Alligator mississippiensis: one gene and its partners. The protein of the gene in region 2 binds, or shares a complex with, the protein of the main gene of each other region. Links are inferred from orthologs where the notes say so. Each region holds a gene or a part of one and is shown on either strand. Other genes may lie near its edges.

Region 1 (8,097 bases), on a different chromosome or scaffold from region 2:
CGAAGTGGGGTTCCAAAGAGGATGGGCTTATGTTGCAGCCAGAGAAGTTAAGGTTGGATATTAGGAAAAACTCTCTCACTAGGAGGGTAGTAAAGCACTGGAACAGGCTACCCAGAGAAGTTGTAAAATCTACATCCTTAGAGGTTTTCAAGACACCGGTAGACATAGCCTTGGTTGGGATGATCTAGTTGGGGACAGTCCTGCTTTGAACAGGGAGTTGGACTAGATGACCTCCTAAGGACCCTTCCAACCCTAATTTTTGTGATGGTACCAGAGACTTCTTAAATATGCATGAGTGGAAATATTGTATATAAACACTTATTGATGTGCTTTTTCCTACTTAGAAAATTAGGGCTGGAAGGGACCTTAGGAGGTCTAGTCCACCTCCCTGATCAAAACAGGACTGTCCCCAACTAGATCATCCCAACCAAGGATTTGTCTACCGGTGTCTTGAAAACCTCTAAGGATGCAGATTCCACAACTTCTCTGGGTAGCCCGTTCCAGTGCTTTACTACCCTCTTAGTGAGACAGTTTTTCTTAATATCCAACCTAAACTTTTCTTTCTGCAACATGAGCCCGTTGTTCCTTGTTCTGTTATCTGCCACCACTGAGAACAGTCTTGACCTCCCCTAAGGTCCCTTCCAACCCTAATTGTCTAAGTAGGAAAAAGCACATCAATAAATTTTTATATACAATATTTCCATTCATGCATACTTAAGAAGTCTCTGTCAGCAAAGTTGATTTATATTAACCCACATTAATATAAGGTTTCCAAGGACTGTTCAATTTTAGGTGCCAATATTAAAAGAATGTAAAACAAGTGAAATGAACAGGAATGAACTCCACCCCTCTATGAACTCACTTCTAGAAATAAGTGCTTACAATACCTAAAGGAATCCTAGACTTCAGCAGTTATAAAATATACCATAAGTATTAACATATTGTTCAATTTTCCTACTGTATAAATAAGAACAAGGAACTGGAGTGCCCACAATTGATGTTACCATCACAAGAATCCAAAATGTTACCGTGTCATTCAAAAAGAGGTGACGGACTAAAGTGACCACTTTTAAATTTGTGTGATGAAGTTCTGGCTATATATTTAACAAAGCCAACCTATTAGATCAGTGTTCAGGAAGAATAGCAGAAGATACCAAAAAAAAACCATCCAAAAGAACAATAAGTTATATATTATATACTCGTATGCATTTTTGCCTACACTGCCCTCTGTAAATGAAAAATCACAACAACATTCCTTCTACTAAAAAGCCATCATAAACTTAAAGAAGGAGCATCAAACTCATCCAGCCCAGCAGATCAAATGAGAGGCACAGGGCCAGTCTACAGGCTGAAATCAGGTATACAGACTGCCCCCTGCATGCTAGAATTGGCATGCTTCCTGGACCAGCCCCACATACTGCATGCAGTAAGCATGCCAGCCCCATGTTGTGTGGGGAACTAGTCTACTTCCCTGATCCCGACCAGCCCCGCATCCCACATGCAGCACATGGGGATGATCCAAGACCTACAGGCAGCACCGCAGACTGAATGATAGGGCTGCATGGGACAGATCTGGCCCACAGGCCATATATTTGACACCTCTGACCTAAAGAACAAACACTTTCAGAATGTGGTTGGTAATAAAAGTAAAGGAAAACATCACTGAAGATACTGGAAGTGAACGGGCAAAACTGCCAAGTGATCTACCTTGCCCAATGCGAGTCTATTATCCTCCTCCACCTGCCAGTCTCTCCACAGGTTATTTTTTAATCAATATGTTCATTCAAAACTATCTGTCCTTTTTTTTTTTTTTTAAGACCCCATCCAACCTCAAAAACCATTTTTAGCATGTCTCATCACCTTATTTGTTCTGTAAATGTTACCAGTTATGATATGCATACAGTTACGTCTTCCTGTCTAACATGTCCCTATATCCTTTCCCAAAACAACCTCTGGGGGCAGGATATCTTTCTTATCCAGTTCACCCTCTGTGTACCCAGACCACTTCTGAATACCTGCTTCCATCATGGTACCCAGAAACCGCAAGTTAACAGTACATTCAATAATAAAACACTCTAATAATTTCAAATCCATTTTATCTTCTGTATCTGCCCCTTAGGCTAAAGCTTGCAGTTCTTTTTCTAGTTCAGCAGTAATCCCCTTTCCACGCAGAGGGCTAATAATTATAGTACTTGTTTTTCAATAATTACTCGCGTCTCAAACTAGGTTTAACGAAGAATCGCTGCGCAAAATATTTCAGGAGAAACAAACCAGCGCTTACCTGTATTTGATTTTAGTGTGAGAAGGAAGATCTCTGCTGGAGTACTGCTTGGAGAGCTGGCTTAAGTCTCCTTCGCCTTTTCCTCGCCCACCCCTCGCAGGTTCAAACGTTGGCCTGGCAGCTGTTGTCATCTCAGCTACTTGGGAATCCAATGCAAAATATGGCCGTTACTACTAACTGTGGTGAGAGACACGTACCCGCGGGTGCGCTATCTAGGAATCACCGCGTCGAGAACGCTTCCTAACGCGAGGCGTTCACACACCTGGGCTGCAACACGGCCTGTCACAACCCGGCCGGCAACCATTTCGTTATACTGAAAGGGAGGGAGATTTTCAAGCGGGTCAGGCTGAAGTGTGACACCACCGAGGAGTCACATAAGAACACACAAATTTGCCATTTGCTGGACCAGGCCCTCGGTCCAGGCTGCCCAGCAGCTGGTGTCACCGGGGGGGTTGTTTCAATGGCTCCTCTCCGCTCGCAGCCTCCAGCGTTGCAGGACGTGACCCGGAGGCCGGGCGGGAGGCTGCGGATGCCCCTTTGCCCCAACACCGCGCCGCCCCCGGTGCTTCCAGCTCCGCCGGGGCCCGGCGCGGCGGGGGCCTGCTCTCGGCTCCTCCCCCCCCCTTCTGCCGGCGGGAGGCGCTGCGAGGACCCAGCAACCCCTCCCCTGCCCGAGCAGGCCTCGCTCCCCCCGCCCACAACGCACCGTATTAGCCCCGCGCCTCCCCGGGCGCCGCGCCACTCCCGGCTGCGCTGCCTGGCGCCTAGGCCACCACCATAACTCCGCCGCCGTCCCACAAGGCGCCGCGCGCAGACCATAGGGGCGGGGCGGGGCGGGGCGGGGTGGGGCCAGGCTCAGCCGCTTCCCGCCTATGAGCAGATCAATGCGTCACGTCCGAGGCCGGGCCGCGTGTCCGCCATGATTACGGAGGCGGAAGTTGCCGCCCTGAGGTTGTTGTGGAGACGGCGGCTTCCCGCTGCACCCCCCCGGACGCTGATTGGCCGCAGAGCCCGCCTGTGAGTGCTTGGCCCCGCCCCCGGGACGCCTGCGCAGTGGGCGCTCAGTGGCAGTAGGGGCTTTTGAGTTTTTGCCCAAATGTTTATTTCTAATAAATATAAACAGCTAAACATATATATATATCTATATATCTCTGTATATATATAACTATATATATAAATAAGCTGTATATAACTACATATATATAAAACTATTTAAACTATACAAATATATATATAACTATATATATGTGTGTGTGTGTGTGTGTGTGTGTGTGTGTGTATATATATATATATATATATATATATATATATATATATATATATAAAAAACACTTTATATAACTAAACATAGACAACTGCCTCTGACAAGCTGTCATGCGACTGCTGTGGTTCACTTGAGAGACCAAAAACACACTTTTAACTAGGGTTGCCGACCCCCCCAGGATTGCCCTGGAGTCCCCAGGAATGAGATACAAGCTCCAGGAGACTGCCAAGAGTCACCCAGGAGATGCATGATAGGGCATTCATTAAAATCAATTATGAAATGTCGCATCCGATTTATACAGTAGTCCAGTGTGTTTTTAAAATGTAATAGTCATGTGCATTTACCTTCCTGAGTACAGTCAGTAGATCCGTCATTAATGTCATTACATCATGTGATTAAACCTCCCGGGATAGATTCAAACAGAGTTGGCACCCTACTTTCAACAGTTACATTATTTTTGTCCCATTACAAAGTTTGCCCGTGCACCCACCACCATTCCCTTGAGAATGTCAGAGTTTCATAAAAGACCCCTCAGTGCTCTCCCTCTGCCTCCACCCAAATCGTCCTTCTGTTTGTCCGGTCTCTTCACTCGTTATATTCTTGATTGAGGAGGCATCTGTGAGCACATCTGTGGGCCCATCCCAGTGCTCCCAGGTTGGCAACACCCCCACCCCATGAGCCTGGCTGCTTGCTCCGTGCCAGCAAGTCTCATCCAGGAGCCATGGTGCCCAGGTGGTGCCCAGAGATCCTTTGAAGGGTGCCGCGAGCTGAGCCCGCTGTTAGCACATTTAGGGGCTGCAGGTGCTTAGACATGATTCCCATGGGAATCCTGGGCATCAGCAGCACGCTCAGGCAGCAGAATCCCGGTCTCTGCAGCAGCAGAATCGCTCTGTTGCTTTGTCGTCATGATGATAAACATCAGGGACTGGGTCAGGCCCCAGGGCCGGCTGGCCCAGTGCCCTGTGTCACACGGGGGCAGACAGCAGACAGTGGAAGGGAGCGGGACCTGGGCCTGACCAGGGTTTTCTCCCCTGTTCCTCTCTCACTTACAGCCTCCAGCATTTAAGGTTTAGGAAGTGCTGATTCTGAGGCCGTGCCCCTCTCTCCCGAGCTCGATAACTCCTGATGCCCCTTTCCTGCAAGAATGTGTCTGCTCCCTCTTTTCCAATCCCAAAGAAAGAAGTGAATGCCAAGAGCTGCCACTTTCTGGTTGTCTTGAGCCTAATGAGGGGTGCCTTCAGCAGTGCTCAACCTTTTTCCCCGGTGGGCCCAATCGGCAGCACCTGGTCCGACTACGGGCCAGATAAGGCTTCTGATCCAGAGTCCAGGGTCAATGCAGTAGCCACCTCTGGCCACGTGGAGGAGGTTGGGCAACAGCCTGGCCTGGTCCCAGCCAGGCAGCGGGGAAGGGACTTCACAGGGCTGAAGGGGAAAGGAGCATGGCCTTGTTCCCCCTCAGGGGCAAGGTGACCTGGCGTGGCTGTGACTGGGCACATGGGCTTGGTGTTTGGGAATATGGCAGGGGGAGAGGATGGCCACCGCTCCCCCACCACCAAATTTTCTGATCCGTGGGGAGCTCCACAGGCCAGGTGCATTGGCTCTGCAGGCTGCATTTGGCCTGCAGACCAGAGGTGGGCACCCCGGGTCCAAGAAGGATGAGAACCACTGATCTGTGTGCTTACAATCTCAGGGCAGCAACTTTCCAAGCACAGCCTCCTGCCGAGGCTGCAGCTGATGAGACTATCCAGCAGGGGGCCCCAAAAGCTAAGGGTAGAGAATCAGGAGCTGCCCTTCCCCTTGGCCCGACAGCCAGGGAGAGATGCACCAGTTAGTGGATAAGCTGCCTCTTTCCTGTGTCTAACACAGCCCCTTATCTCCCTCTACCCAGTGAGTATTGCATCACTGGATGACTTGGCATCTGATTATGTCAGAGACTGCTTCTTACGCACTGTATCTGTGCAATGCAGCTGTGGAATTTAGCTCTGTTGTTCCCCAGGACTAGGGTTACCATATGTCTGGGTTTTCCCATACATGTCCTCTTTTTGGGTCCTCCGATCTCTGTCCAGGCAGTTTTTCTAAATGTAATTGAATATCTGGGATTTTGCTCCTCTCCGCTCCGCTCCACTGGTGACTGGAGGCAGGGTCACCAGGTGCATCTGTGGCTGGCACGCAGCCAGGCAGGGGGTGGGAGCAGCCTCAGCAGCTGATGTAGGCAAGGCTGTGAGGACAGGGGTTGGAGAGCCAAGGCTTCATGACTGTGGGGGGGTGCAAAGGGTGCGGCAGGGCACAGGGGCAGGAGGGAGACACCTGACCCTTCAACAGGGGAAGGGGTGGGGGGTCCTTTGGGGGCAGCAGGGAGCTGCACGGATGGGCTAGTGGCACCAGGGCAGGTACCCATGCTTGCAGGAGCAGGGCACCTGGGAAACACTGCCCGGGGGCCAGGATGCATAGATAGCCCACCTGGCGCAGTGCAGAAGCCCCAGCCTGGGGCAGGGGGTGTTACAGGTATCATCTCATCCTACCTTCAGCCTGTGCTAGGAGCAGACTCGCTCCACTGCTGCCCGCACGAGCCAGAGCCACTGTAGCTGCTGCGTTTTGACCCAGTTCGAATGGGGGCAGCTGGAGACCCCCTCCAGCCCTGCTGGAGGGAGTTAGGGGGGCTGCAGGTCAGGAGTGAGGGGCACCGGCAGGGCCAGGGGTCTGTGGGTCAGGAGTGAGGGGCAGCAGCAGGGACGGGGGGCTGCAGGTTGGGGGTGAGGGGCACTGGCAGGGTCATGGGGCTGTGGGTTGGGAGTGAGGTATCCTCCCTGGCTGGTGTCCTCTTTTTTGGAACTGGAAGTATGGTAACCCTACCCAGGGCTGAATTCTGGAGGTGGTGGCAGGACATTCCTAGCTGAACACCTGCCCTCCCAAATGTGGTTCCTTCAACACTTTTCCCGAGTGCAGCTCTAATGGGTCCCAGGGCATGGCACTAGGTGCATTCATTCAGTCTCAGGTTGGGTTTTTTTAAGCTTTTTGTTTGATGGTTTTTAGAGTTTCTCTCTTACTCTGGGTTTTACTTTGCTGTCTTTCAGCCCAAGTGACATCACAAAACATGAGGGTGCTGGATGATAATTGGCTGCTGCTCTTCATCCCAGCAGCGTCTACATTTCTCCTGTAGGTGTAAACCTACAGATGTGTTTGCAGGCTCAAAATTACTGTGGAATCTTTAGTGTGGTTGAGAGAGTAACTCTTGGGGGGATAGTGAAAGAAATGGAGCAACTGAGCTAGGGGTGAGTTAGCAGACAGGGCTCACTGACATTTTCACAGCCTTCACACCAGTGATTACAGAATATGTGCTCCATAACTGACCAACATATTGTATTGTACATCAGGAGGGACCTGCCTACACACACGCACACCTTGAGAGAATGTTTATTCCCAGCTCCAGCTCCAGGTCCGGGCAGGATAAACCTAACACAGGGAAGGGCAAATTCTGCAAAGCAAAGGTCCATTTTCTTAGCTCTGCAGAGTAAAAAATGCTGGATAGAGGAAAGGCACTTTAGCGCAGGTGACAAAAAGGAGGGGAAAAAAAAGTATAATATATGTGTATATATATGTATGTGTATATACATATATATGTATATATATGTATGTATGTGTGTGTGTGTGTGTGTATATATATATATATATATATATATATATATATATATAAACAACATAAAAATAATAAGAAAATTCATGCTTTTGGGGGATAGGAACCATCTTTTTGTTCCATGTTTATAAAGCACTTAACACAATGGGGTTCTAGTCCTAGGCACAATAGTGATACAAATAAACAGGAACAATAATAATTATGAAAATGACAACTTTGCCCAGGTTCATGATGCCAGATGATAAGGGAGCACTCCTAGGGTGTGGTTAGAAAGGAATTTTTAAAATACTAATGTAAAGCCTTTTATTAAAAGTTTGGAAGAATTAAGAATCTATTAACCACCCAACACTTCTGGATTCTAAAAAAAGATGTTGAGAAACTGGGCTGGATGTAGGGGAAAGCTAGAAAAATGATTAAAGGGCTGAAAAAATGTTTTGCAATGAGACAGACTAAAGGAACTCAACCAGTTTATTTTATACAATGATTCAAGATGTGCCTTGATTATGGTTCATAAAGATCCTGTTAGTATCCGTTATCTTCTCCCCAAGAAAGTGTCTATGCATTGTGATTAAGTCACATCAGTTTTCTTTTTGAGAAGTTAACAGGCTTAGCTTTTCTGTTTCTCACTGCAAAACATTTTCTTCATTCACTAAATAATTTTAAGGGCTCTTTTCTGCATCTCTGTAGGTGGATGTATGCATGCAGGGATAAACTCAACTCCAACTCCTACTCTACAACATCTAAGCATTCTTCCAGTCTTCTGGAATTTCCCCAGTATTCAACCATCTGTAACAAACTAACAGCAGTTTGTTGGACATCTCCTCAGTCAACACTTTTAAGACTCTCAAGTGCATGCTTTTGGGGCCTGCTGATTTGAAAATATTTATCTCAGCATCCTCCATCTCTCTTGGCCCTGGC
Region 2 (7,805 bases):
GGGGGGGCAGATCAAAGCTCCCCACGGTAAGGGATGGAGTGGGACGGGGCAGAGGCAGGTGCTGCCCAGCCAGGGCAGTGAATGTGACCCTGCAGGCATCTTGGCCAGGGAGTATAGGGAGGGGGACGGCTCCCCACCGCTGCGCACACCCACAGGAGAAACATGGGGGGCATGTGTGCCCCGGATTTGTGCACGGGGCATAGTATTTACCAGTAACTTTACTGGTAATGCACCTCTCGTATTTACCAGTAACTTTACTAAGCGTTGCTAGGGCAGTGTGTCGTGCTGATGTCTGCACTTCAAGAATGATTTTAACAACATGAGAAGAGTTCAAAGAAAAGTCATGAGAAAGCTGAAAACATGCCTAATAGAGCCACAAGATCAATCTGTGCGGCATAAAGAAAGTGTGAGAACAAGATGACTAAGGAGCAACCTGTGTAGAGAACAGAAACATAACCAGAAAGTTACTGCCTTGGCAGTTACATTAATAGGATTCCAATACTACTAAAAGGCACAATGGCTGCACCTTCAATTTGCAGCAGCTTTCTCCTCAAGGCAACCCCCACACACCCCAACTTTCCTTCCCTCCAGTGGCAAACCTGGGTGGAAAGTGAAAGAGAAAAAAAATACAGGAGAGCTAAACCAGATGTGCACTTAAAAAACAAAGCCAAAAAACTATACAGTACTCACTCCATCTCATATACAGTGACAGGTAATGCCTGCTCCATCAGGGAGAATTTCTTGGTTTTCACAGGTTTAATTATTGGCTCTGAAACCAAAATAAAATTTTACAGTGAAAAAAAATGTTCTTAAAATGCTGATGTTTGGAGACATTAACCTAAGGCATTAACTGAGACAATACTAAGCATATTACTAGACCAAAAAAAGTGATATTTAAGGTTGATGACACCACTTTAACTGCTTTATTTGGGGAAGATTAAGACATAACTGAAACAGATTTTCATTTGCCTTCTTTTAAGATCTTTTCAGCCACAGTTAGTGTATGCTCTGCACATCTCACAACAGAACTCCTCTGGCGTTCGCAATGGTGCACTGATGCCTCTGGGCATCTTTAACAAAGTGGAAAGAGTCTTGGGAGTTTGGAGGTTGAAAAGGATTTTTATAAGGCAAATTAAAACTGGTAAGGAGCCAAATATTTGGCTCATTTGCAGGCTTAACTCAATTTCCATTATCACTTTTTTCCCTTTAAGCAGAGACTTGGTTCTTTTACTTTATGAATTAAATTCTTTTTTGTTAATACTCTCAGTAGAATTTCTATTAAAATGCCAAAGACAAAACAGACTGAATGTCTGAGAAGATGCAAGTAATACCACCACCAGCAGGATTTCAGAGCCTTTCTTCCTTCCATGATTGCCAACAAAAACCTTTCCTGATCAGAAATCTGATTTACTGACTATAATTACTTACCAGTGAGAGGCTGTGTATCCTCTTCCTGCACTATAGTCTCTACCTCAGGCCCATAGACCTCTTCTGCAGTGGGATAGTATTTCTTATCCTCATGCAGTACCACCTCCATTCCAGGGTGATCTTCATCATGGTCTCCCATATCGTCATCATCGTCATCATCATCAAGCTGAAACCGACAACAGAAATACTTTATCCACCCAACAATCTCAAAGAGCTTTTTAGATGTTAAGATCCACAAAACCCCTTCTAAGGTTTGTATTCTCAACCCCATTTTAGGATAGAAAAACGCTTGTGGTCACATATCAAATCATGAGCACAGGTGGAAGCCACACTGACTTACACCAAGATTGGGACCTGCACCGGGACTGAATATCTCTAGCACTGATCAGAAACAGGTCCAGACAGGAGTGCTGACAATCTCTCCCAATTTTTATTTAACAGCCATTTTCCCCACCTTGAATCCATTCCAGAGGCCACTGCCAAATGCAAATATTCACTGGATGTGGATGATTTAGGAGCATCATTCCTACATTCATGCAGGTGTGGTTGGACCAGATGGTCCCCTGAAGTCCTTCCCAACCCTGTGATTCTGTGCAACCACAAGATGTTGCCTTCTGTACATGTACATAGGCTACCAAAGTTTTGCCAAGCAAGCAGCAAGCCAGGCTACGCTCCACATCAAAGCACAATTGCAAAATACAGCACATGAAACTCTAACTGTATAAGATTTGTTCAGAAAACTGTTTGATCTGTTCAGGTCCCTCCTGACCCTAGCTACTATGAAACTATGAAGAATCTGCGTGGTAAACTGGTGACTATTTTTCATTTGCCTGTAAACAACTCTGAACAACCACACCATTAGGAACATTGTTCTGGGTCATCAGGTGCAGCCCCTTTCACCACACAACACATCCCAGTGACCATGCCTCTGCTCTGGGGTTATAAACACTACTTCTGTCTCTCCATTATATCAGGAGGCAAGGCCAATACACCCCTTTAGGAAGTAACTAAGACACACACACATGCATATAAAGAAAGAGTGAGTGCATGCAAGCTTTCATGGGCTGAAGCTCACTTCATAAGTGAAGCAAGTGTCAGCTCGTGAAAACTCGCTCGCTCTCTCTCCGCCCTTCTCTCCCTCTCCCCCACTATCCATCTGACCTAGTGCAGCGGTTCTCAACCTTTTTTGCACCAGGACCCACTTGTAAACATCAGTGGCCAGTCCTGACCCCTCACGCCCGACCTGCTGCCTCCTGCCCCCACGCCCCAGCCCCCACTGTGTGGGGCAGGGGGGCCCAAGCAACCCCTTGCAGGTTGGACCTCTGCCTGCAAAAGCCAGCTCTCAAGAGCGGAGAAGACGGGAGAGAGTCTAGAGGGCCCCGTCTCCCGGCGGCCCCCCGCCCCCCGCGGGGAGGGGCCGCACCTCGTCCACGTCCTTGGCCTCCCGGCCCAGCTCGTCGTCGTCGTCGTCCGAGTCGAGCTCGGGCCCGATGTAGTTGCCGAACTCGTCGTACAAGTCCGTGTCCATGGCGCCAAGGGGCGAAAACGAGGCCTGTCTCCGCCTCCCCTCCCGAAAGCGGCCCCGACACGCACCCGGCTCCGCTACCGCGCGCCTGCCCTCCCGCGCGCCGGCCGCCGTGCGACGCTCGCGTCGAAGGACCCCCCCCCCACCGCGTGGGGGGTGGCCAAGCTGCCCGCCTGAGGGGCTGGTCACTTCAGTGCCCCTCCACCAGGCAACCGCTGTGGGGAGAGCTCGGGGGCTGGGTGGGGAGCGGCCGGCCTGAGTTTTGGGGGGAGGAGTGTCTGGGTTCCGAGCAGGCGCTGGGTGGGGCAGCCCCGGCTGGAAGGGGCCTCGGCGGCGCGTCCCGCTGTTGCTATGGAGACGGTCGGTGAGACGGGGAACCAGTGTCGGGGCAGCCCCGGGGCCGGGATCGGGCCCGGCGGGGAGCGCTCTGGGGTCCGAAGTGCGGCGTGACAGGGGAGACTGGACAAGATGGACTGGTGGTCTGACCCAGTCAAGGGCAGTTCTTGTGTTCTTCTGAGACTTGTCTCAGCTGAGATGGAACGCAGGTGCCCTGGAAAGTTGGGCCCAACTTCAAAGTCATCATTTCAGATTGGGGTTTGCATGAACTCACTGTATAATTAATAGAGGTGCACCGATAGATTTTTGGGGGCCGATACCAATGGCCGATTTTTAACGAGCCGTTTCAGCCGATACCGTTCCAATCGCTGATGTGCAGCCGGGCAGTGTGGAGAGCAGCCTCCCGCTGATAAGTCTGTTGTGGGGGGAGGGAAGGGCCGTGGAGGGTGCAGACTGAGGACCCCGCGCTGAGGGAGGGAGTGGGGCTGGGGGGCCCAGGACGGAGCCAGGAGTGGCTCATTTGGGAAGGTGTGGGGTGGGGGGTGCAGCTCCCACCGCTGCCCATACCCTTGGGGGGGCCATGCGGGGCGTGTGCCCCCGCATCTGCGTGCAGGGCTAGGGCAGGTTGGGCCAGGGCTGTGTTGAGCTCTTCCTGGCAGGGGGGCTGGGCTGGGCTGTGCTCAGGGTGGGCAGTGGTGGCACTGGGTGGGGCTAGGGGCGGGGCTTCAGCCACCCCAAAATTTGCCATAGCCCTCCCAACTTCCCCTCCCAGCACTGCCGCCATCCTCCCCAAGCACAGCCTGGTCCAGCCCCCCCACCTGGGAAGAGCCCAGTGTTGCCTTGGCCCCAGCCCCCAGCGGCAGCTTGCCCTCGGCCTGCGCGCAGATTCAGGGGCACCCCCCCCCCATGCCTCCCCTGGGGGTGCGCACAACAGCAAGAATCACCCCCTTTCCCTGTGCGCGGCCAGTCCTGCACCCCGGCTTTGCTGGGCAGCACCTGCCTCTGCCCCAGCCCCACTCCCTCCCTCACCATGGGGGCCTCAATCTGCCCCCCCCTATAGACTTACCGGCCAGACCCGTCTACTCTTCATGCTGCCAGGCTGCACTCCTGGCTGCCTGCATGCTGTGCTGCAGCTTCGCGAATGTATGGGGCATTTATTGGCCACACCAGCCAAAAAAAGCCGATACACTCAATTTGCCTTATATTGGTGCTGATCCAATATGGGACCAATGTATTGGTACACCTTTAATAATTAGATACGTGCAGCAAGTCTAACAAGAGTTCAAGTAATATACAGGATGTGAAAGAGCAAGGAATATTCCCCTTGCATGGTGCTCATGCACCCCAAGTAATTCTGGCTTGTGGGCAGATAGAGGTCATTAGTCATGTTAGTCTGAAGTCAGGCAGCAGGCAGGGTAGAATTGCACCTTGTAGATAAGCGGTGTCAAACTCACCTGGCACTTTAGGCCAGATTTAGACCCCAAGGTCTCTTGGGCTGGATCTGCAAAGCCAACGGTGTGTAGGGCAGGGGATGAGGTAACTTGGTTTGGGGGCTGGTGACAGCATGGGTCCAGGGATGAGCACGAGGCAAACGAGGGCTGTATGCACACCACGCCTCCTAGCTATGCTGTCAACTTCTGGTAGCCTGCTGGACTACCAGCAAGCCAGATGGAACAGTTTGATGGGCTGGATCCAGCCTGCAGGCCAGACGTTATAAAGTAACTAAATCAGAGATGCAGTTATACACTATATTAAAATAGTGTGTAAAAGGGACTTACCACTTATAACTGCTTCATCTTGTTTATTCTCATCCCAGCATAAACAGAATTAAACTGAATGAAACAGGTGTAAAGTTACACTGATACAGAGAGGACAGATGAAATAGTTAAGTTGGTTCAGCATGAGTCACAGTAAACTGGTATAATTGTTTGGTCTGTGCATGCCATTAATTATGTTTTGCTCTCAGGTTATCATCATGGACAAATCTGGAGCAATAGATTTCTGTGCTTTGGAGAGAGAACTACAGGCTGCTGTTGCTGCTGATGAAAAGTACTGGAGAGAAAATGATGCCAAATTTCGAGCTGTTCACCAGAAGGTGGCATCCTATGAAGAATTTAGGTTTGCAGGCAACTTGTTTCATGTGGCGAGTCTGGAGTTGGGAATACAACAATCCAGTGTTTCTTTCATCAGGATGAAAGTTTGTATTTCTGAGTGTCATGTAGTGACACTGTCTGCTCAGAAGTTGTATTGTCATATCCTCCCACCTGTGTGAGGAGGACTGAATCTGTGAGAGTGTCTGAAGCAATAAGGAGTATGTGTGACCAGGTCCATGTCTTTCACCCACAACTCAATGGCAACACAGTTTCTTGTGATAGGAGCTCTTTGTCTAGGCCAACTTGCTGGGTAAGGGACGTGTAACTCCAAAAGCTCTATCCTGCAGCTTCTCAGAAAAGTCATGAGATATTCCTCTCTGTGGGGAAATTACTCAGACCCTAGGAATCTGAATCAAAACAAGATGTGTTAAAAACAAAGAAGAATGGAATTAAAAAGAAAGGAAAGGTTTATTTAGCACCCATACTATAACATTTCTCATAAAGGGGACTGGCCTTCGCAGCACAGATCTTACACACATTGCCAGCATAAGTGGCAAACCCCTCTAAAGTGGATGTGGTTATACTAGTATAAAAAAAGCTTGTATTAGTTTGATTTGGGAACTAGTACAGGCTATATATTGATGTAAGACACCTATATTTTCATTTAACTGCATCTGCTAGAAAACTGAGAGAACAAAAACCATACCCTTAACCAACATCATTTGGCTGGAAAAACTTTTATTTCTAGACTGGGGTGCTCAACCTCTGGCCCACAGGCCAATAGTGGCCCATGGAGCCAACTCATTTGGCCCATGGGGCTCCCCACAGGTCCAGAAATGTGATGGTGGGGGAGCAGTGAACATTAATACAGTCATTCTCCCTGCTGCCAAAACCCCAAGCCCTGTGCAGCTGTTTAGAGCACCCCATTTCCTTTCACCCTGTTTTTGGATTATTGGAGCTGGGGCACCCCTTCCAACCCCTTGGGGCCAGGCCACCACCACCCCAGAGTTGGGTTGGGGCCTGGCCACAATCCCTTCCCCTGCAGGGCCCAGTCAACTTCCTTTCCCTGCAGGATTGCGTTGGTGTTGATGTGGAGGGTATTTGCTCTTACAGGATTTTGCTTATAGGGATATTGTGCAGGCATCACACCTGAAGCCCCTGGAAAAAAAGGATAAATTTGGAAAAAAGAAAAACCTACTGTGGAATTCCTGTGCAACCCAAGCTAAGTGCCAGCAGAACAGCGAGGTGGAAATAGCCCAGGTGAGGAAAAAAAACAGTCTATAAACTTACTAGGGAGGACCAGCGTGGTTTGGGAGAGACCTTGTTCCGCCGAGCGCCTCCCAGAGTAACAAGGAATAACGGCCATAAGTTGCTAGAGAGTAGGTTTAGACTAGACATTAGAAGGCGCTACTTCACAGTCAGGGAAGCTAGGATCTGGAACCAACTTCCAAGGGAAGTGGTGATGGCTCCTACCCTGGGGTCTTTAAGAGGAGGCTCAGCATTTACCTGGCTGGGGTCATTTGAGCCCAGTTTTCTCTCCTGCCCAGTGTAGGGGGTCGGACTAGAAGATCTACAAGGTCCCTTCCGACCCTACATCTATGAATCCTCCATCACTATTGGTTTGTTGACATCTGAAAGTTATTGCAGAACAAGATAGCGTGTGAAATTCAAAACAGACCAGAGGCCATTCAGTAGAGAAAGCAGTGGATGTTAGGTTGCAGAGAATGAGGATTCGAAAAAGCAGGCCTCCCCCAACCTGAGGAAAGACCACTCAGAAGAAATAGCAGTTCCATATGTGAACAAGCCCTAAACAAATCCCAAATATTGAAATCTCTTGAGTAGATCAGATCTCCATTTAGTCCTACATCCTGTCTCTGCCACTGTTCCCTTATTGCCAGGGTGAAAACTAGCCTTTTACTCCTGAACTTTGTTTGCTGTCTCTTCATTGGCTTCTGAGCCATAGCACTATTTTACCTTTCTTCCTGTGACTTCAGTTACCACAGGTGACCTGTTTTGTGTGACCACCATCCATTCTTTCCTTGGAATGAAATCTCAGCCCCATTGAAGTCAATGGGAGTTTTGCCAGTTTACTTAGGATCCCATACCCCCTTACACACACATACATTCAGACAGTCATCAGTGTGTACAGACTAATGAGAGGGATTTCAGAAGTAGAAAGGAAAGGAAACAGGAGAAGCCTGGTGCTCACTTATTGCTGTTGGTCTTTTCTTTCCAGGGGTTGGACCGATTACCTGAAACCTCTTCAGAATTCTACAGAGATTGGCGCAGATGCTTAAAAAGTGGGCAAGAAAAATACCAGTTCCTACTGCAGCTCGGAGGCACAGGCCTGGGCAAAATCTTTCAAGCGGATCTCGGCTTTGGCCTCCTGGGCGAGTTCCTCAGGTTGTTGGCAGAGAATGTCT
Region 3 (7,899 bases), on a different chromosome or scaffold from region 2:
AAAACATGTTATGGCACTTCCTTTTTTATGCAGTACCAAAACTTACAGTCTAATATTGACAAAGACTTCCCTTGTTCTGAATCACTTGCATTCTAAAAAGACAAGCTTGTTACACACAGGATAATAAAAATAGATAGTTTTCCTTCTAAATCTCTCTCTCAATTAGAATGATCAGAGAATTATCTTGTAAAATTATCATAGCAATTCTAAGATTAAATTTCATATCATAAGACAATATTCAAAATATACAAGCAAAGGCAAACTAACCTTGATTTGCAGAATATTGTTTATGTCCATAAGGATCCACCACACCCTGGGAACCCTTCTCTCTCAAATTTTCCTTCAGCGTAGGCATGTGCAACACAGAACCATACTCTGTGTGAAGCTTAACTGACATCTTTACCTTGTGACTAGTTGAGAGAACAAAATTTATTAATACTTGATCTTCTGAACAACCGCAAATTTTAAAATGCTTTGGAAATCATTTAGAATCATGTCAGTTCTACTGCTTTCCTTTCACCACCTCTAGATAGTAGTTCTGCTTGAACATACACAATCTGACTTGGATAAAAGAAAGCAATTACTTGTATACACTAACATTTTAAGACACAGCAACAGGCTAGTGACAGCTATACTTACCTTTCTTCATCCAACGATACAGGTTTTGCATTATCAGCCACAAACATATCATGGGTCCTCTTCAAGGATCTGAACACAAGAGTGTGCACAGAATGTTTCTGTACATCCTACAAGAAGCCATAACAAAAATTTAAAGAAGAATCAAAAACAGCAATATAAATTAAATAAGGTAGTAATTTTTCTCCTTAGTAATTAAAAAAACAAACCAAAACAGACACTACTGAATTTGTAGAAGAGTACACTGCCATCCTTAGGAGCTGGGAGCTACAGATTTGGCCTGATAAATTGTTTCATTGCCCCCTCACTTAAAATAACACTCCTTCCTTGGGATAGTCTCATGATAAAGAAGAGCAGGCCAAAACTTTGACCAACTGTGTTTCCAATTCCAACCACTGAGGTAAATACAAACTGAAGATAAAAGCTTGTCCTTCACACTTACTGGTTCTTTGTTTATACATAGACAATAAAACAAATGGTTCAGGCGCATCAGTGGTGCAGGCCTACTCATTTGATTGCAACCACAGAGCAAACAAATGGCAAAGAAAGATCATTTAAGAACTACCACACAGATGATGGCACATGTGTGCATGCCTCTTAGCAAGAAACAGCATGTTCTTGTGGATTCCAAAACCTGCAGGCCTTGGTTTATCGATGTAATTGCTTTGCTTTTTCTTGAAGTACAAAAGCACCATTCAAGAACTAACAAAATTAACAATACCAAAGTAAAATTAGGGTTGGAAAGGACCTCAGTAGGTCATCCAGTCCAACTAGGAGTGCACTGATAAAGATTTTCTGGGCCAATACCAATGGCCGATTATTAACCAGACATATCAGCCAATACCAATTCAGTAGCCAATTTAAAGGAATGCCGCTGGGCAGGGCGGGCAGCAGCAGCACTGGGAGGAGCGACTACAGGGAATTTTTGGGGTGGCTGTAGCCCACCCCTCCCAGGACTGCTGTCCATCTCACCCCCTCCCATCCTGAGTGCAGCCCAGGCCCCCTACCAGGAAGAGGACAGCCCCTGACCCTGCAGCAGGCAGCCTGCCCTAGCCCCACGCACAAATCCGAAGGTGTGTGTAGTAGTCCCTGAAAGAGCTGCCCACATTTACCGCCCTGGCTGGGCAGTGTCCCCTGCCCTTGCTCCACTCTTTCCCTCACTGTGGGGACCTCAATCTGGCCCCCACCACACTACATCCCTTTACCCTTCCTCCTATGCCTTCTTCCCCAAAGACTTAGTAGCCAGATGCTGCTCTCCAAGCTGCCAGGCTGCACTCCTGGCCACGTGCATGCTGTGTCTGTGTGCATGCATATGGCATTTATCGGTAACATTATCAGCTACACTGGCCAAAAAAAGGCCAATTGCTGATAATGTTAATTTTCCTTGTATTAGTGCTGATCTGATATGTGATCAGCATATCAGTACACCTCTATATCTAACCCCCTGCTCAAAGCAGGACCATTCCCAATGAGATCATCCCACTCAAGGCTTTGTCTAGCCAGATTTTTTAAAACCCCAAAGGATGGAGCTTCCACCAGCTCTCTGGATAACCTGTCGCAGTGCTTTACTACCCTCCTAGTGAGAAAGTTTTTCCAAATATCTAAGCTTCTTAATATCTTCCCTTGCCACAGCTGAAGACCACATCTGATACCCAAAGTTACATTTCTCCCAGGCTACTAGAGGGATCTTGGGGGACACTGACCAGATACTGAGTTTACCTCCCACCAGGGAGGGAAACACCCCTTGCCCAACACCATCTTAGGGGTCCTCCTCTGCTCAGCAAAGTTCTTTGAGTAGATGTGACATTTTTTATTGGACCAACTGAGATAAATATATACAATAAAAGTTTATATAATATAACAAGAGATATCACATGCATTCAAAAAGCCTTTGCCTGCCTCAAAGCAACACAGATGCAACCAAAAACCCAACTCCTATGCTAGCGCATTTGCCAAACACACTATATGGGAAGTGCTGGTAGCTGTAAACGACCGCAGATCAGTCCCTTGTCTTGGTGACAGGTGCAATGCCAACATGACGTGCAACAAGGCCACCTGGCCCAGTCCCCTGAGTGCAGTGACCTTGCAACCTATCTTCCTTGTGCTTTACTGGCCGGGAAGGTAGGCATTTACAATTCATTTATAGCGCGGACATAAGCGTCCGAACTCTTCAGAGTCAATGCATCCTCCCCGCCCCCCAGGCCCGTGGCCGGGCAGAGGCTGCAGGAGGCCGGGGCTCAGGCTCCAGCTCCAGCCCTGTGCATGGCCCCTCAAGCCCCCCCCACGCCGGGACACCGGCCCGAGCCCCAGCCCGCCCCGAGGACTGACGGGGAATGCGCGCGGGACCAGGCGCTCACCTCCACCATGGCGCCTCCTCGACAGCAGCCGCCGAACCGCTATTAAAGCACTTCCGGCCCCTGTCGGAAGTGACGATACCACGACCCGCTCGCGAGAGCCGGCGACATTAGGCCGCGCTGGAAAGGGAGGGAGGAGGAGAGTGGGGGGGGAGAGGCGGAGCGCAACATCGCCCAATAGGGGGAAGGGGCGGGGCGTGAGGGGAGGGGGTGGGGCGTGAGGGGAGGGGGTGGGTCGCGCCCTGGCTGACGGCTGGCCTTGACTCTGGGCGGCCCAGTGGACCGAGGGTTCGAGCCCCGGCTGCCCGAGGGCCACCCTCGGCCGCTGCAGCCCTATAGCCAATTTTGTGAGAAGTATGAGGCTTGAGATCTGTATAGAGGAGTTTCATAGATTACCTTCAAACTTCTTGAAACTGAACTAATGTCTCCTGTGGCAGGGGTGGGGTAGGAATCTGTAGCGTATACAATTTTGGCAGTGACACATTACTGTATTAAAACATCAGGTTCATAGTGAACAGTATAGATAAAGTTGCAACTTGGTAGCAGGGTATTATTGTATTGTAACAATAGCCTGGTAATCAGTCTTATAAAATTTAAATATAGCTTCCATTAAAACTCACTTCTCATCACATTTTTAAATATCTCTTTTTGTCATTAAATTATCTATTCTATCCATACTAGATGTTGCAAATGTATATGAATTAGCTTTGTTCTAACAAAGTTACAGGCATATGTAATTTGAATCCAAATCATAAGTGGCAGGCCATCTTAAATTGAAAGAAAATCTGAAATCACATTTATGACATTTGATAGGTTTCAAGATAGGTTGAGAGGCTGCTTTAATTAAATATGAGATCAGAGCTGACCCACCTTTCATTTTTCAGTGTAATAGGCAGAATATCTCTGGATTTTCCCCCACTTTCTTTTACTCCAAAATAGCTTACTCAAATTTGCTAAAACTTTAATCTCTCCCCCCACACACACCCCCACACCCACATACACTTTGAAATTAAATTCTGAAAATTTCACCCAAAAGAGAAATCTTGAATAAAGTTGAAATCAACTGAAAAAAAGACTGGGGGGGGAGGGGGAGGGGGACAGCCAGCGGCACATGTGCCCTAAGTGGCATAGGCAGCCTCTGTCTGTGGCAGACAGCAAATCAGGGAGGCAGCAGGGAGCTGCAGATAGAGCAGAAAGCAGAGCAGCAACTCAGGCAGAGGAAGAACAACTGAAGGGGGAACTAGGAATGGATGTGGGTCTAATTTGTGATATGCCTGCCAAAAAAGGTTGACACTTACTGGTTTAGAATTTGTATATTTTGGCAACTTCATCTACAGCTGCTGACTTCTATATTTTTGTTTTAGCCAAACAAAAATGCCTTATTTCTACCATCCAATGTTGCCGATTTCTTGATGGTGAATATATTTAACTATATAACAGCTGTATAGAGCTGGTGAACGTAAGTATATATACTAATTACAATTACACATCTTGAACAGATGAGTGCAGTAGTTAGCTTTCAAAAAGATGCCCAGTATTTAACTCAGCCTTTATAACACTGGTTAGAGCCTGCTGAGCAAGTCTTTACTGCCAAAGTGAGCAAATATCTTTATAGGATTGCTCTGTGAGTTTGGACTTGATGTCTTGTGATTTAATCCAACTTCTTCTTTGTGCTGTGTAATGGAGGAGTATTTTGGAAGAGTCTAAATTTTTAATTGGAGCTCTGCTGTATTAAGATTTAAGTGTGAAATTAGCCGAAGTGAAGTGTAAAAAGAGAAATAATTCTAAAACTGTAAAATGTAACTTTAAAAGGAAAACTGTACTGTTATGTCAAATTAGGATAACTACATCAACTAACAAAGAGTAAATGCCTAAAGAAGCAAGGACCTATTTTTCAAAGAGCACATTTTCACTTACCTTTTAACATACAGTTACCAAGAGAATATATTTGTAGTTACAAGCATCTCTTTATGTATCAGCATTATTTATACATATACATCCACATTGCTTGCATTTGGTCTTTAATAAAGGCAGAGAGAGGGAATTGTTATCCTTTGTGTGTCTACATGGTAGTTTTCCGTTAAATAAATAGCCTTTTTGTCACTTATACACTTTACAATTCTGTTACCGATATAGTGTGGTAGATATGTAACTGTTGCACATACCCATTGGCCAATGCATAGGTATAAGTATAGGTTTCTAGGAAGTGGTTAGGTGGTAACTGTAACTAAGTGGTTAGGACATTTCCCAAGGAAGCATAGAGGGGGTGCTTCCCCCTTCTAGGCCACAGGATTTGAATCTTCTTTTTGACCACTGTAATGGGGTGTACCCCTCACGGGTGGTCATGGCTCCCTGGTGGCCCTCTGGCACCTATCTGCCTACCCTGGCATCCTAATCTGGCTCCTCTCTCCCTCCTGCCATGCCTTGATGCTATAAATTGATATGTTATTTAGAAGACTGCCTTTGGGTAACCAAAGTCTAGTCATGGGTACCTTACTTCCCCCTCCTCCTTCGCAACTACAGGTCTGACCAGGCAGCACAGAGGTCCACCCCTCTCTCCCTCACTCTCATTGTCAGCCACTATCATTGGCTGGGACCCTGCCCTGTTGGGCTCCAGCCTGCCTGTCTTTAGTCACTGCCCCTGGCCTGTCTGGGCCTCAACCCCACCCAGGTCTCCGGTCCACTAGTCCTCAACCCCCTCCATGGCCCCTTCCAGTCCACTGGGTGGTATTAGCAGTATGAGCAGAAATAACAAAAAGAAAAGTAGACCCCAATCAAGTTAACATAAAAGGTCTTTGGGCTGTACCCTCTCTCCCAGGCCTCTCCTGGCCAATGTAAATGGTCACCATTCCTCTAGGTTTGTTCATTCCCCAGGGCTCCTCCTGGGTTAACATAAACAGCTCTCAGTCTTCTGGGTGCCCACTTCCCCAGGATCCTTCCTGAGTTAACACCAAGAATCCCCCAGGGCTTTGCATGCACTCATTCATTCAGTCTTTCTTCCCTGATAGGGGCTCCTCCTTTCAGGCATCAGGTGCTCTTGCCAGGCTGGCATTCGTTCCTGGCTCTCTGGAACACTCCATCCTTCTCAGCCACAGGGATGGAACTGGACTGGACTGGACTAGACTGGACTGGACTGGGTCGGTCCTCCCCTCCCTCCCCCCCACCTTCCACTCTGGCGGGGAGTTTATATCCTAGTCATCTCTGCCACCTTTGTCAGCTGGCCAGGCTTCCTGTTCATCTGGCCCAGTGTGACTGCGACGGGCCGCCATCACGGGTACAGGCAGAGGATAGGCAGGACAGGGGGGCAACAACACCACCTCAAGAAAGCCACGGGCCGGGCTACTCACCCCCGGGAGGGATGGCAGCGTCAGAGCTGGGACCGCAGCAGCAGACGCGGCCGCCATTACGGCCGCGCGAGCCGGCACTACGCCGGCTTTTTAAACAGCTGTTCTCAACAAGGGGAGCAGCTGAGCCAATCGCGGCAGCCGCAGCGGCTGCCGCGGGAAGTTTGAAAGCCCCGACAAACCCCGTGGAAAGGGGGAAGCCAGAGGAGGAGAGAGGAGGCGTGCAGCACGTCACTGCCGCTGCGGCTTCCCCAAAGCCAGAGCCTCAGGCAGGCAACTGGGCATCAGTCCAGCAGCTGGGGCGAGAGCCAGAAGCCCCGGTCGGGGCAAGAGGAGTGACTCCCAGGGTTTGCTGGGAGCAGAGCAGCAACTCGGGAAGTTCTCCCATTCCCGAGGAGCAGTATTTTTGAGAGCAGGGGAGAGAAGAAAGGAAAGGACCCGAGCTAGCGGCCGGGTCAGGCGGAGGCGGAGCCAGGCTGCCTGAGGACGACCGTTGGCCTCGGGGAGGCCTGCCAGAAAGAAGTGCTGCAAGTAGCAGCGGATGACCATCTCATCAACAAGTGACCAGTTGGCGAGTGGACGGGGTGTAGGGGTGGCGGAGCCCCATGGAACATCTGAGGACCCAACCGTGAGTACCCCCCTTTACGTCAGGCAAGCCCCTCTGGCAGAAGATCTCCACTGAACCCCTCCTTCGAATCACTTAACATCCAAGTCATGGCAGGCGGGACGAGGGGGAGGGGCTACCATACCAAGGGCGGTACCGGACGTGAGGCCCACGGACGTCATACCCAGGTATAGCTAACCTCCCCTTCCCACTCAGTGCAGTGTTTTTCAGCCAGATGTTTGCAAGCTAGGCTCTGCAGAAGTGAGTCCATAGCCCAGTGTCAGTCATCTTGCTTCAGGAGGTTTCTGCTCTCACCTTCAACAAACAGCTTGCTCTCTCTTGCTCAGCTGGGTCTCTCTCCTGGTAGCTGGGACCTCTATTCTTCTGGCTACTCTGGAAGGGCTTTTCCTGCTGCAAGCTATCCCCCTCTCCTCCTTGGGCTACAAAAGTTCTGGCTTTAAATGGGCCTTGCTGATTTTTCCACCCTTGCCCTCTTTCCCCCAAAGCAGAGTTCCCTGTTACACCACCACACTACAGATTAGGCCACTGACTCACAACCAGAGTGTCACAGCATCTTGGGGTACCATGAGATCCTTTTAAGGGTGCCCTGCTATATAAGCACTGTTGCATGTGCCAACACCTAAATGATTCACAGGATAAATCTAGAGATTCCAAAAAGTAATCCATGGTGTCAAAAGCATTCTGATCTGTTGTGGCTGTTCTGAATTCTTTGCAACAGAAGAATTGCCGTATTATTTTTCTGTTATAAAAAGCAAGTCACAGGTGCCCTCTCCAGCACTCCTTTTGAAGCTGGGCAGCCAAAAGGGCTAAGAAAAAGAGGTTGAAACGGAGGGAGAGTGGCTCAATAAGAGGTGTGCTGCTTTGGAAGGCAGGAGGGCTAGTTTCTAACTTGGTCCTTTTCTTTCAAAAGGTGCAAGATCTTCTCCATTTATTTTATCCA

What was found. The genes of interacting proteins can lie anywhere in the genome.
Region 1: EFTUD2 (region 2) and CWC15 share a complex: the UniProt entries of both Homo sapiens proteins name them as parts of the minor spliceosome. The link is inferred for Alligator mississippiensis from reciprocal best matches to the Homo sapiens genes EFTUD2 and CWC15.
Region 3: EFTUD2 (region 2) and PLRG1 share a complex: the UniProt entries of both Homo sapiens proteins name them as parts of the minor spliceosome. The link is inferred for Alligator mississippiensis from reciprocal best matches to the Homo sapiens genes EFTUD2 and PLRG1.

The regions. Positions count from the first base shown.
Region 1 is NC_081824.1:447,192,928-447,201,024, reverse strand, and holds the start of CWC15 (spliceosome-associated protein CWC15 homolog), read right to left. Parts: upstream 3,098-8,097; 5' UTR 2,988-3,097; intron 2,421-2,987; exon of another isoform or gene 2,418-2,420; 5' UTR 2,413-2,417; coding exon 2,282-2,412; intron 1-2,281. UniProt on the Homo sapiens protein: Involved in pre-mRNA splicing as component of the spliceosome. Component of the PRP19-CDC5L complex that forms an integral part of the spliceosome and is required for activating pre-mRNA splicing.
Region 2 is NC_081827.1:161,814,844-161,822,648, reverse strand, and holds the start of EFTUD2 (116 kDa U5 small nuclear ribonucleoprotein component), read right to left. Parts: upstream 3,067-7,805; 5' UTR 2,957-3,066; coding exon 2,852-2,956; intron 1,595-2,851; coding exon 1,429-1,594; intron 770-1,428; coding exon 691-769; intron 1-690. Other genes in the region: CCDC103 (coiled-coil domain-containing protein 103), read left to right, coding at 3,422-3,547, 5,256-5,407, 6,510-6,642, 7,619-7,805. UniProt on the Homo sapiens protein: Required for pre-mRNA splicing as component of the spliceosome, including pre-catalytic, catalytic and post-catalytic spliceosomal complexes. Component of the U5 snRNP and the U4/U6-U5 tri-snRNP complex, a building block of the spliceosome.
Region 3 is NC_081825.1:94,680,930-94,688,828, reverse strand, and holds the start of PLRG1 (pleiotropic regulator 1), read right to left. Parts: upstream 3,098-7,899; 5' UTR 3,003-3,097; coding exon 2,994-3,002; intron 747-2,993; coding exon 640-746; intron 411-639; coding exon 268-410; intron 1-267. UniProt on the Homo sapiens protein: Involved in pre-mRNA splicing as component of the spliceosome. Component of the PRP19-CDC5L complex that forms an integral part of the spliceosome and is required for activating pre-mRNA splicing.